2 linked regions of the Rattus norvegicus genome follow. The protein of the gene in region 2 binds, or shares a complex with, the protein of the main gene of each other region. Links are inferred from orthologs where the notes say so. Each region holds a gene or a part of one and is shown on either strand. Other genes may lie near its edges.

Region 1 (5,108 bases), on a different chromosome or scaffold from region 2:
GCCCCCAAATTCAGCTCACAATAACGCCCTAAACCTCCAGCTCCAGGGGCATCTGACGCCCCTAACGTCTATGGGAATTTACATTCACATACACATACCCACATAGAGACTCCCCAAAATACAATTTTTAAAATTGATTACAGGAGTGTATGACTCACTATGCCTGGTTTATAAATGCTGGGGTTCAAACAAAGGGCTTCTTGAATACTAGGCAAATGTTCTAGCAACTGAGATATAACCCCAACCCTTCACCATATCTATGGGAATACTCCCTGAGCAGGCTTCCCTCCAGACCAGAAATCCTTCATGGATTCTGACATTCTGACTTTGTCTCCTACTAGCTTTACACCACTTCAAGTTTCAGCCAACTGGTCTACTTGCAATTCCCGGATTGTTTTTTCCATCTGTTGAACTTTCCTCAGACTCCTCCCTCTATCTAGAAAGCATCCTGCTTCCCTGTCTGCACAATCATTACTACCCAGGCAGGTCAAGTAGCCCGGTTCTGGTTACTTTCTCTCTCTCTCTCTCTCTCTCTCTCTCTCTCTCTCTCTCTCTCTCTGTCTCTCTCTCTTTCTTTCTTTTCTTTCTTTTCTTTTTTCTCTCGCCTGCCTCACCACTGCAGCCCCGCTGACCACACACATTAACCTTAGGTCAAAGTTTATATGTTCTTATGTGTGTGTATGATTAGTTTGCCCACCAGTGTTTCTTAAACACCATACAATGGGAGTATGTACTAGGTACTTGACTGTGCTATCTAATTTAATTCAATCCTCACAACAGCCCTTCCAGATAGACATGACTCCCTCCATTTTATAGGATAGGAATCTGAGGCTGTCAGAAGTTAATAATCTTGATTCCTTACTAAATGGCAGAGTCATCACTCACTCAACAAATCTTATTCCGCTTCCTAGGCCCCCCTGGGCTTTTCAGTATGGATTGGGAAGTCCCTCTGGGGGCTATTAGAACAACAGCCTCAGGACCAGGCAGAGCATGTCAGAGGCAGTTTTCTCGTTGCACTATGTTTAAAGAAATGTTTGGGTCGCAGCCGGCACTTAGCCTGGGCCAGCACAGCGCTAAAGGAGTGATTCATGTGGACAAACATCGTCCAGGATGTTTAGATCCAGTGGTGACCCTGATTATTGTAAAACTGAGACAGGAGTGCCAGGCCCTGGCACACGTCCAGCTGTCTCCTCTCCCTGTGCACTGCCACCGCAATAAAACCTGTGGCCAAGTCACCCTTCTTCCTGCCTTGCTCCGGTTGGAGCTCTCAGCTTTTATAAATAAATAGTCCATGATAGCAATGCTTTCGCTTGGGTCAGCCTTGGATTGATAAGAGGCCCCGGCATTAATACCCTATAGGCTCCTCAGAAATCCATAAGAAAAAAGAGAAGAGACTGGGAAGACACAGTCTCCCTCGAACTAGATTTTCACCTTTTGGGGTTAGAAACCCCCAAACTCGTTGGATCCGTTCACAGTGCTCAGTGAAGAACTTGCAACAATGGACTCATTCTCTTCCTGATTATTTTGGAGTCAAGGGTGTTCAGAAGTTGTTTGCTCAAGGAGAGTGTAAACAGAGCTTGCTGGTGCCCCAGGCCAAGAGCATGCCTCCAAAGCTATTTCAACATGGCAAGAGGTGGGGGGTCTAGTTAAAGAAGCTGAACCAAGAAGTAGGGGTGAAGTATTTTGTATTTGAGGTCCATTTTTATCTACCATCTTCAAGACAGTCATCCCTGGGGTTGGTGTTAGCAGGACACCCATTTCACAGCTCCCCAAAGAGTGGAGTGTTCCCTTCCCACTGCCTCTGGCTCACTTACTCCTAAGCAAATATGGGTTGTTTAAACAGGTCTAAAGACAAAATATTCGCACAATGTAAAACTCTTACGTTAATATTCTTCCCTTCCTCTCAACCAAGATGGTGTAAGTGTCCAAGGCCTTCAAGGTCTCATCTGTCACAGTGGACAAAGACCTAATGATCAGTGGCAGTTGTATGGTAGAATTCTTATCTTCTACAAAGGAAATGGCAGTGTTTAACTCTTAAGCAAGGCAATTAGACCACAGGCCACCAAGGCCAGTGAACCAACATTACTGGGAAGCCATCCTGTTCTTGGTTATCTTTAAACTCCATCATGAAGTGGCTTGGTAAAAGTGTACACAGCCGGGGTATCATTGGGACTAGTAAACGTTCTCAAAGGCCCTCTGACTCGGGCCATTTTCAAGGGATCGCTGTTTTGTTCTCCTGTGAGTGTGTTCTTGACATGGGTATGAATATGGGTAAACACATCCCACAGCATGCACGTGAAGGTCAGAGATGACTGTGGAGCCTGCCTCTCACTACGGACCTGTGAATGATCTTGGATTTCTGTCCCTGCTGTCCCTACCTCCCAAGTGCCAGAGATTACAGACATGTGTCTCGACATCTGGTTTATTCGGTATTGGAGAATCAAACCCGGGGCCTCACACATGCTAGGCCAGCACTTATCAACTATGCAAAAGGTGAGAGATTTGAAAACAAAAGTCTAGCACTTTAGGAGGAACGCCAACTGTCAAACGTTAAGGTGGCAAGAGGTTAAAATAGTCCCCGTAGCTAGGTCCCAGTCATGGGGTGACTTCATTTTAAAAAAAAAATATTTTTTTATCTTATGTATATGAATGCTTGCCTGCATGCATGTATGTGTACCACATGCAGGCAGTGCCCTCAGAGGCCAAGACTGAGTGTCAAATCCCCTGACACTGGAATTACAGATGGCTGTGAGCAGCCATATGGGATCTGAGAACTGGATTCAGGTTCTCTACAAAGGCAGCAAGTTCTCTTAACCTCTGAGCCAGAGCCATTTTTTTTCTTCCTTTGTGGAACATGCTATGTCCTAGAACTCGATTGGTAGTTTAGGCGGGCCTCGAACTCACAGTGATCCACCTGCCTCTGCCTCCCAAGTGCTAGGATTAAAGGCATGCACCACCAAGTCTGGTACCCATGGGCCACTCAAATATTAATGAATCTTTTAGGCAAACATTATTTATATAAAAATCCCACTTGCTTCTTTTGGGATTTGCTATGTTATAGTCAGGCTAGTGGTTAGGACCCTACATAATAACACTTGTATTTATGGGACTGCACTGGCATTGTCAATTAACATTGGTGATTTACAGGGACTAATTTAACCCCTCAAAACCTTGGCTGGGCTTGATATTTAGCATCCCTCCTACAGCGCTAGACTTCTGACGTATTTTCAAATCTCTCACATTCTGCATAGATAAATTTTATTCTGCCTTCCCCAATAGAGTTTTTTGTAAATATTTCAACGTAGCTTCTACCATATGTTTTTTAAGTCACTTAGAGCACAAACCAAACATTGTTATTTCACTAATACAGAAACTAATTTTGCTATTCCTAAGGTCTTGTCATAGGCCCCCAAAAAACAATTTTCCAAAAGCATTTTGTTGTTGTTGTTAGAAGGCATTCACTACCTACTGCGCGAATTATGTTGATAACATTTTAGAGACACCTTGAAAAAGACTTATGGCATATGTTAAGAGAAGTTCAAAGGAGAGAGTGGGAGAAATATGTTAAAGAATTCAAAATCAAGAAAAGGTGTGTCATATGCTAAACACTAAATGAAGTGTGCAAGAGGACAGGCAAAGCGTTCCAACAGGGTCACAGCCAGCAGCTGTGGGCTACTGATGTTACCACAGAGGGCACTTATTAGGATCCTAAGGTCGATATCCCGAGCTTCCCATCCTCAGACTCCAGGGCTTCTGACCCCAGTCTACTACTGGTCCCTAACTTTACTTTTATCCCAGTCCCCTCCTTTCCTCTTTCTGTTTAGCTTCTCAGTGTTTTCAACCACTTTTTAGGTAACCCATCTGGAAAGCAACTCCTGTCTTCTTTCTCTTTCTGAGAACTGTCACTCTTTCGGACCTTACTCCTGGAGCCAGAGCTGCTGAAAGCTTGTGAGGGTAGTCTATTTTAGGAGTCCTCCAATGGGCTGGCCTCACCCATGACGATGCCAGCCTGCTTCCCTCCCCCCAACCCCTACTTATTCCTAGAAAAAAAATTGAACTCTGTGGTCCCTGAAACTGTGACTGGATCTACAAGGTCTGTATTCTGGATCTAAGCTCTTTTTTTTTTTTTTCTTTTTTTGGTGACCAAAGTGAGATCAGGTCAAGGGGGTGGAGTGGACAGTACCTCTTTGCAGGCGTGAAGCTCGGGTCCGGTTCCCAGGGTCACCTGGAAGGTGGTCCCAGCCCAAAGCAACAGCCACAGAAGCCGGGATGTGCGCCTTTCAGTTCTTCCGCCTTCTCTGGCAGAAGGTTGGGGGTTGTGACCAGGCTCAGCCATAGCGCTGTCCTGAGCCAGCGGCAGTAGCGGCTCAGGTGCTGCGGTAGCTGCTTATGCTGGCAGAAGGAGGAAAAAAAAAAAAAAGAAAAAGAGGAGGGAGGTACACAGAGGAGGATGCAAGGGGCTGGACTCGCTTCAGTCACCTCCCTGCGGCTACGCCAAGGCCGCCCATCCCTCCTCCCTCGGTCCTCTCCTCCTCCTATCCATGTCGCCTTGACAACCGCATCCTCTTCGCTCAGCGCGGGTGGGGCAAGGACCACGCGCGCCTGTGCCGCTCACCTGCCGGTCTCCATGGCAGCCGCCACCGCTGGCGCGCGGCATGGGAGTGCACGCGCCAGGGTTTGCAAGTAACCGAATAGGCTTACGTTACGTAAAGCACGCAGTAGAAGAACCTTCAAAACATCTGCAGCGGCTCATTTCGCACCTATTACTCTTCCGGGCCGGGAGGCTATTTCTAAGCTTCTCTTATTTTGTAAACATGGCTTATAAAACGATTGGGGGAAGACAGAGGTCTTCGTCATCTTCCAGGGATCGTCTCCTAGAGTGGCCCCAGCAGTAACTGCAAAATTTAGTTCCATCCTTCCACCCCGCCAAGTCCATTCACGTTTTTACAGCCGTCTCGGTGAGCAACCCTGACGTCTGCATAGTTAAACAGCGAGGGTGACCTAATCGACAATTTTCCAACTAGGACACGTGAGATCTTTGATTTTTTTTTTTTTTGACATTCTCTTACTCTCATTGATTTGAAAATGGGGAAGCTTTCTTTTAAGTG
Region 2 (5,186 bases):
ACATTTTCAGCTTGGTGCCCAAACAAATAATCTCTTTTCCTCTAAAATTTCATCCTGCAAATTACCAGTGGTCTGCAGCTCGGAGACTCTCTATATAGATCTTCCTTGCCGACAACGGAGCCTTTCTACATAGCAAAAGAGTGCCACTGTAATCTATCTCCTAGGGGTGAAAGCAAGGCATTTTTGTCCCAAGGGGCAATTGAGCAACGACCACAGTAGCAGTGGGGCGAGCCTCTACAGTTCCCACAGTCAGAAAGAAGCCCAGCTGCGGAAAGGGGCTATTTACGGAATTCAGGGAACTACACAAAACTGCACAGGGCTGGCACTGCACAGTTGTCTGGGGATGAAAACAACATCGCAAAAATGGTTTCCTTTTTATATTATAATACTCTCCTCTTTTTAATTTGGCATCTCAGCTATTTTTTACTTGGTATCACCCCCTCCCCCTCAAAAAAAAGGAGCGCTGGAGAAATACAAGCCCACACAAAGAGCTCGTTTTTAAACTCACTCCTTTCTCCTTACAGTTTCTGAATTCCGTATTAGAAGGGATGGCTCATTTCTAGGGACAAAATAACACAGGCTCTGGGGTGAGGTAGGGTCGGGTAAGGGGGCGAGCGGGGAGGGGTGATGGGAGAGCACTACCGCTAAAGAAAGCAAGCTCTCTAGTAAAGCGTTAAGTACTACTTTGTATATTGTTTCTCTTTTTTCCTTTCTCTCTCTCTCTCTCTTTGTTTGTTTTTGGTTTTTGAGACAGGATATCACACTATATATCCAGGCCGGGTACAAAATAACCGCAGTCCTCCGCTTCCCAATGCTGGGATTTACAGGCATAAACCACTAAGGGCGGTTATGATGACCTTGAGCTGCAAGTCTTCCTGCCTCTGCCTCCCAGGTGCTGTTGAGGGTCATAGGCGTGGTCTATTCATACTGAGCTTCTGAATTTTGCTCAAATATTAATAATAATAGTAATAATAATAATAACCACAATAATACAACTGTAAAACTAAACATTTACCCACGCCTTTTTGACCATCATTCCCATAGCTCTTGCTACTTTATTTAAAGCGAACAGAGATGTTGAATCCTGACGGAACGTATTTAAATTTAGTGTAGTATAAATGAAAAGCTGGAATTTACCATAAAGAATCTCAACACAAATTCTGTGATTAAGTGTTGGGGAAAACCTTAAATTATCCTAACTACAGTTTAAGGTTTAAGCTCCGTATAATCACCCAACCCCCGTTTTCTTTCTTCCCTCTCTACCCCTCCCCAGCTCCACCCCATAATGGATGCTCGGCTAGTTGCTTTTGCGAGGCCTTTGTCTGAAGGATGCAAAATCTACGGATGCTAGCGAGGGGGGGAAGGGGGGAGAGATTACCTCATACCATGTCGCTTGCACCAATCACCACTCTCCTGTCGCGGCTTCTCTGGGCAGACGGAGGGGTCTGGACCAACAGGAAAAGGCCTTGGCCCATCCCCATGGTGACCGAGCTGTATATAAGGAGGCGCATCCGCCCAAGTGCCGCAGGTTCTCTTACATCGACCGCTTAAGAGTCGCGCTGTAAGAAGCAACACCTCCTCCTCGCCTCCGCCATCCACCCGGCAGCCGCGAAGCAGCAACCATGGTGAGCAAACCTTCCCGGGCTCTCAGGAGCGGGTGGGTGTCAGCCGGCTCAGTCTGCAAGGAGACGCCTAAGCCTTTTGTCATCTCTGCGGGGAAGGGTGGTCTGGATGCTTTAAGTTTAGCTTAGTCCGTGAGTCCCGCCGCCGCAGTGCGGGACACGGAAACGCCCAGACCGGGAAGAACAAAGGCTGCGCCGGCGAGCGATTGCTGGCAGAGCCCGGGACCACAGGGGACCGGCGGGGGAGAGGGAGGGTGCCGCAGGGTCTGCTGCAGCAGGAGGGCAGGGCGGCGGCCGAGCCCGCACTCCAGAAACGCCGCCCTAACTCGCTGGGAAAATAGTTTGCCTGGGATCCATGGCAGCCGCTGTCAGGGAGGCGCAGGGGCGGGGTTGTTTGTCTCTTGCTTCCGTGGCGTTTTGGGAGGGGTTCGCTCTCACTAAGCCTCACTCCCGAGCTGGGTTTTTTATTATTATTATTATTAATTTTTATTTTTAAAAAGAATCGTTGGGGAATTGTAGTCTTACGAGATGCTCCACGGGGCCATCTCGCTGGGTGGGGGGAGGGGAGCTGGATGGTTGGGAATGACAAAGCCCACTTTGTGAAGCCCGAGTAGCTGACGGTCAGAACCCAGGGAAACGCCCTTCCCCGCCCCCAACCCCCGCAGACAATGAAAGTTGTCCCTCCAAGGCAGAAGTGTCTCTCTCTATAGAATAGTGGTTTATTATGTTGTATGTAGAGATTCATCGGATAAAAATACTATTTTCTACTTTTAAATATTAGTTATCTTTTCACTTGTTTTTTTTTTAATTGTTGGCACTAATTGTGTGCACTGTGTTTCTAACTTAGCCTGCTTTAAGAATGTTTCCGTCCCATCCAATAGAAAACCTTCAAAAACCATAATGATTCTGCTGCAAAGAAAAAAAAAATGATACTCTGCACCCGACTGCCTTTTGTTCTAATATATGACACTCATTCATTAATTCAGGCAGATGGCCCCAGGCAGGGTTGGGAGGCACGCAGAAAGCTGCACAAAGAGATCACGTAGACAGCTTCTGGAAATAGAGCTTTCTCTGTTAAATAATGTAACAGACCACAGGCTAGAGCCAGGCACAGAGAACGCGGCAATGCAGAAGTCAGACTCAATAGCAGGTAACCTAGCCTAGTACTGACCGGGCCCACAGAAGGGTGTGGCTGCTGGCCTCAGCCGCACTGCAGATGTCCACATTGAAATACCAGGTCCTATAGGATGAAACCTTAAACTTTGTGAGACTCGGTCTAGCTTGCAGCTTAGCCAGAGTACTAATGGGGTCCACAGAAGGGTGTGGCTGCTGGCCTCAGCCGCACTGCAGATGTCCACGTTGAAATACCAGGTCCTGTAGGATGAAACCTTCATCCTTACTTAACAAGAAAAGAAGCAATTAATGTAATTTCGGGTAATTATTTCATTTTACAGAATCTATGTTTTGAATATTTTTCAAATATGAAGACTTCTATTCAAACACTGCTATGGGAACAATGGGTTGGCACCATGTCTTAAGCAGTACTAAGGTGACATTGAGGCCACACCCACTTTCAGTATTGGTAGTGGGTACTCCTTCCTCATTGTGTCTGTCATATTAGGGATATGACACTAAATAAATTTAAACAATGTTTGTATTTTTAGAAACACTTTAGAAATCTATTAAAATCTAAAATAGAAGTACAGCTTAATATTACAACAACTTAATTTTATGATATTTTTTCCCCCTTTCCACAGCGTGAGTGTATCTCCATCCACGTCGGCCAGGCTGGTGTCCAGATCGGCAATGCCTGCTGGGAGCTCTACTGCCTGGAACATGGCATCCAGCCTGATGGCCAGATGCCAAGCGACAAGACCATTGGGGGAGGAGATGACTCCTTCAACACCTTCTTCAGTGAGACAGGAGCTGGCAAGCACGTGCCCCGGGCGGTGTTCGTAGACCTGGAACCCACAGTTATTGGTAAGTGGACTGGGGGCTTCCCTGGGGCAGTCCTTCTTGGTCACATACTCAGAATGTCTCTCCAGACCCGGAAGGGTGAGTGAGCTTGTGGGGTCCTTGGTGGTGATGGCTGATGTCTTCTCCTTTTTCAGATGAAGTTCGCACTGGCACCTACCGCCAGCTCTTCCACCCAGAGCAGCTCATCACAGGCAAGGAAGATGCTGCCAATAACTATGCCCGTGGCCACTACACCATTGGCAAGGAGATCATTGACCTTGTCTTGGACAGAATTCGCAAGCTGGTAAATGCCCTATGTGGATGGGTTTAAAATGCAGTGGGAGGGTGTCTTGGTATCTGTCAAAATGTGTCAGGTCTTTCCTATCAGGTAGAGATGGCTCACAGTCTAAAGGAATTGAAATAGTGTATGCCCTGGTAATAAGACATTATATGTCCTTTTCTCCCACAGGCTGACCAGTGCACGGGTCTCCAGGGCTTCTTGGTTTTCCACAGCTTTGGTGGGGGAACTGGCTCTGGGTTCACCTCCCTGCTGATGGAGCGGCTCTCTGTCGACTACGGAAAGAAGTCCAAGCTGGAGTTCTCCATTTACCCAGCCCCCCAGGTTTCCACTGCTGTGGTTGAGCCCTACAATTCCATCCTCACCACCCACACCACCCTGGAGCACTCTGATTGTGCCTTCATGGTAGACAATGAGGCCATCTATGACATCTGTCGTAGAAACCTCGACATTGAGCGCCCAACCTACACTAACTTAAACAGGTTGATAGGTCAAATTGTGTCTTCCATCACTGCTTCCCTCAGATTTGATGGGGCCCTGAATGTTGATCTGACAGAATTCCAGACCAACCTGGTGCCCTACCCTCGCATCCACTTCCCTCTGGCCACTTATGCCCCTGTCATCTCTGCTGAGAAAGCCTACCATGAACAGCTTTCTGTAGCAGAGATCACCAATGCCTGCTTTGAGCCAGCCAACCAGATGGTGAAATGTGACCCTCGCCATGGTAAATACATGGCTTGCTGCCTGCTGTACCGTGGTGATGTGGTCCCCAAAGATGTCAATGCTGCCATTGCCACCATCAAGACCAAGCGTACCATCCAGTTTGTGGACTGGTGCCCCACTGGCTTCAAGGTTGGCATTAATTACCAGCCTCCCACTGTGGTCCCTGGTGGCGACCTGGCCAAGGTCCAGAGAGCTGTGTGTATGCTGAGCAACACCACAGCCATTGCTGAGGCCTGGGCTCGCCTGGATCACAAGTTTGATCTGATGTATGCCAAGCGTGCCTTTGTGCACTGGTACGTGGGTGAGGGCATGGAGGAGGGAGAGTTCTCTGAGGCCCGTGAGGACATGGCTGCCCTAGAGAAGGATTATGAGGAGGTTGGTGTGGATTCTGTGGAGGGTGAGGGTGAGGAAGAAGGAGAGGAATACTAAATTAAATGTCACAAGGTGCTGCTTTCACAGGGATGTTTATTCTGGTCCAACATAGAAAGTTGTGGGCTGATCAGTTAATTTGTATGTGGCAATGTGTGCTTTCATACAGTTACTGACTTTAAGTGTGAATGATTTGTCAGAGACCCGAGCCGTCCACT

Evidence for each region. The genes of interacting proteins can lie anywhere in the genome.
Region 1: the proteins of Tuba1a (region 2) and Cfap276 are in contact, whole or in part, in a cryo-EM structure (PDB 7UNG), measured with the Homo sapiens proteins. The link is inferred for Rattus norvegicus from reciprocal best matches to the Homo sapiens genes TUBA1A and CFAP276. Residues at the interface, in NP_001257328.1 of Homo sapiens: Lys112, Glu113, Ile115, Asp116, Leu117, Leu119, Asp120, Arg123, Lys124, Asp127, Arg156, Ser158, Val159, Asp160, Gly162, Lys163, Leu195, Glu196, His197, Ser198, Asp199, Tyr262, Pro263, Arg264, Trp346, Lys430, Asp431, Glu434, Val435, Val437; in NP_001231954.1 of Homo sapiens: Pro43, Trp44, Arg46, Leu47, Asn48, Thr50, Pro51, Thr52, Ile53, Thr54, Ser55, Arg57, Arg58, Ala60, Tyr62, Asp64, Ile67, Pro68, Lys69, Asp70, Asp71, Phe74, Arg75, Lys90, Ser91, Leu94, Leu95, Asn96, Lys98, Thr99.

What each region holds. Positions count from the first base shown.
Region 1 is NC_086020.1:198,852,093-198,857,200, forward strand, and holds the start of Cfap276 (cilia- and flagella-associated protein 276), read left to right. Parts: upstream 1-2,036; 5' UTR 2,037-2,139; intron 2,140-4,183; coding exon of another isoform or gene 4,184-4,336; exon of another isoform or gene 4,337-4,405; intron 4,406-4,625; exon of another isoform or gene 4,626-5,108. Other genes in the region: Elapor1 (endosome-lysosome associated apoptosis and autophagy regulator 1 isoform 1 precursor), read right to left, coding at 4,184-4,336. UniProt on the Homo sapiens protein: Microtubule inner protein (MIP) part of the dynein-decorated doublet microtubules (DMTs) in cilia axoneme, which is required for motile cilia beating. May play an important role for the maintenance of myelin-axon integrity.
Region 2 is NC_086025.1:131,992,190-131,997,375, reverse strand, and holds the start of Tuba1a (tubulin alpha-1A chain), read left to right. Parts: upstream 1-1,556; 5' UTR 1,557-1,622; coding exon 1,623-1,625; intron 1,626-3,379; coding exon 3,380-3,602; intron 3,603-3,733; coding exon 3,734-3,882; intron 3,883-4,047; coding exon 4,048-5,028; 3' UTR 5,029-5,186. UniProt on the Homo sapiens protein: Tubulin is the major constituent of microtubules, a cylinder consisting of laterally associated linear protofilaments composed of alpha- and beta-tubulin heterodimers.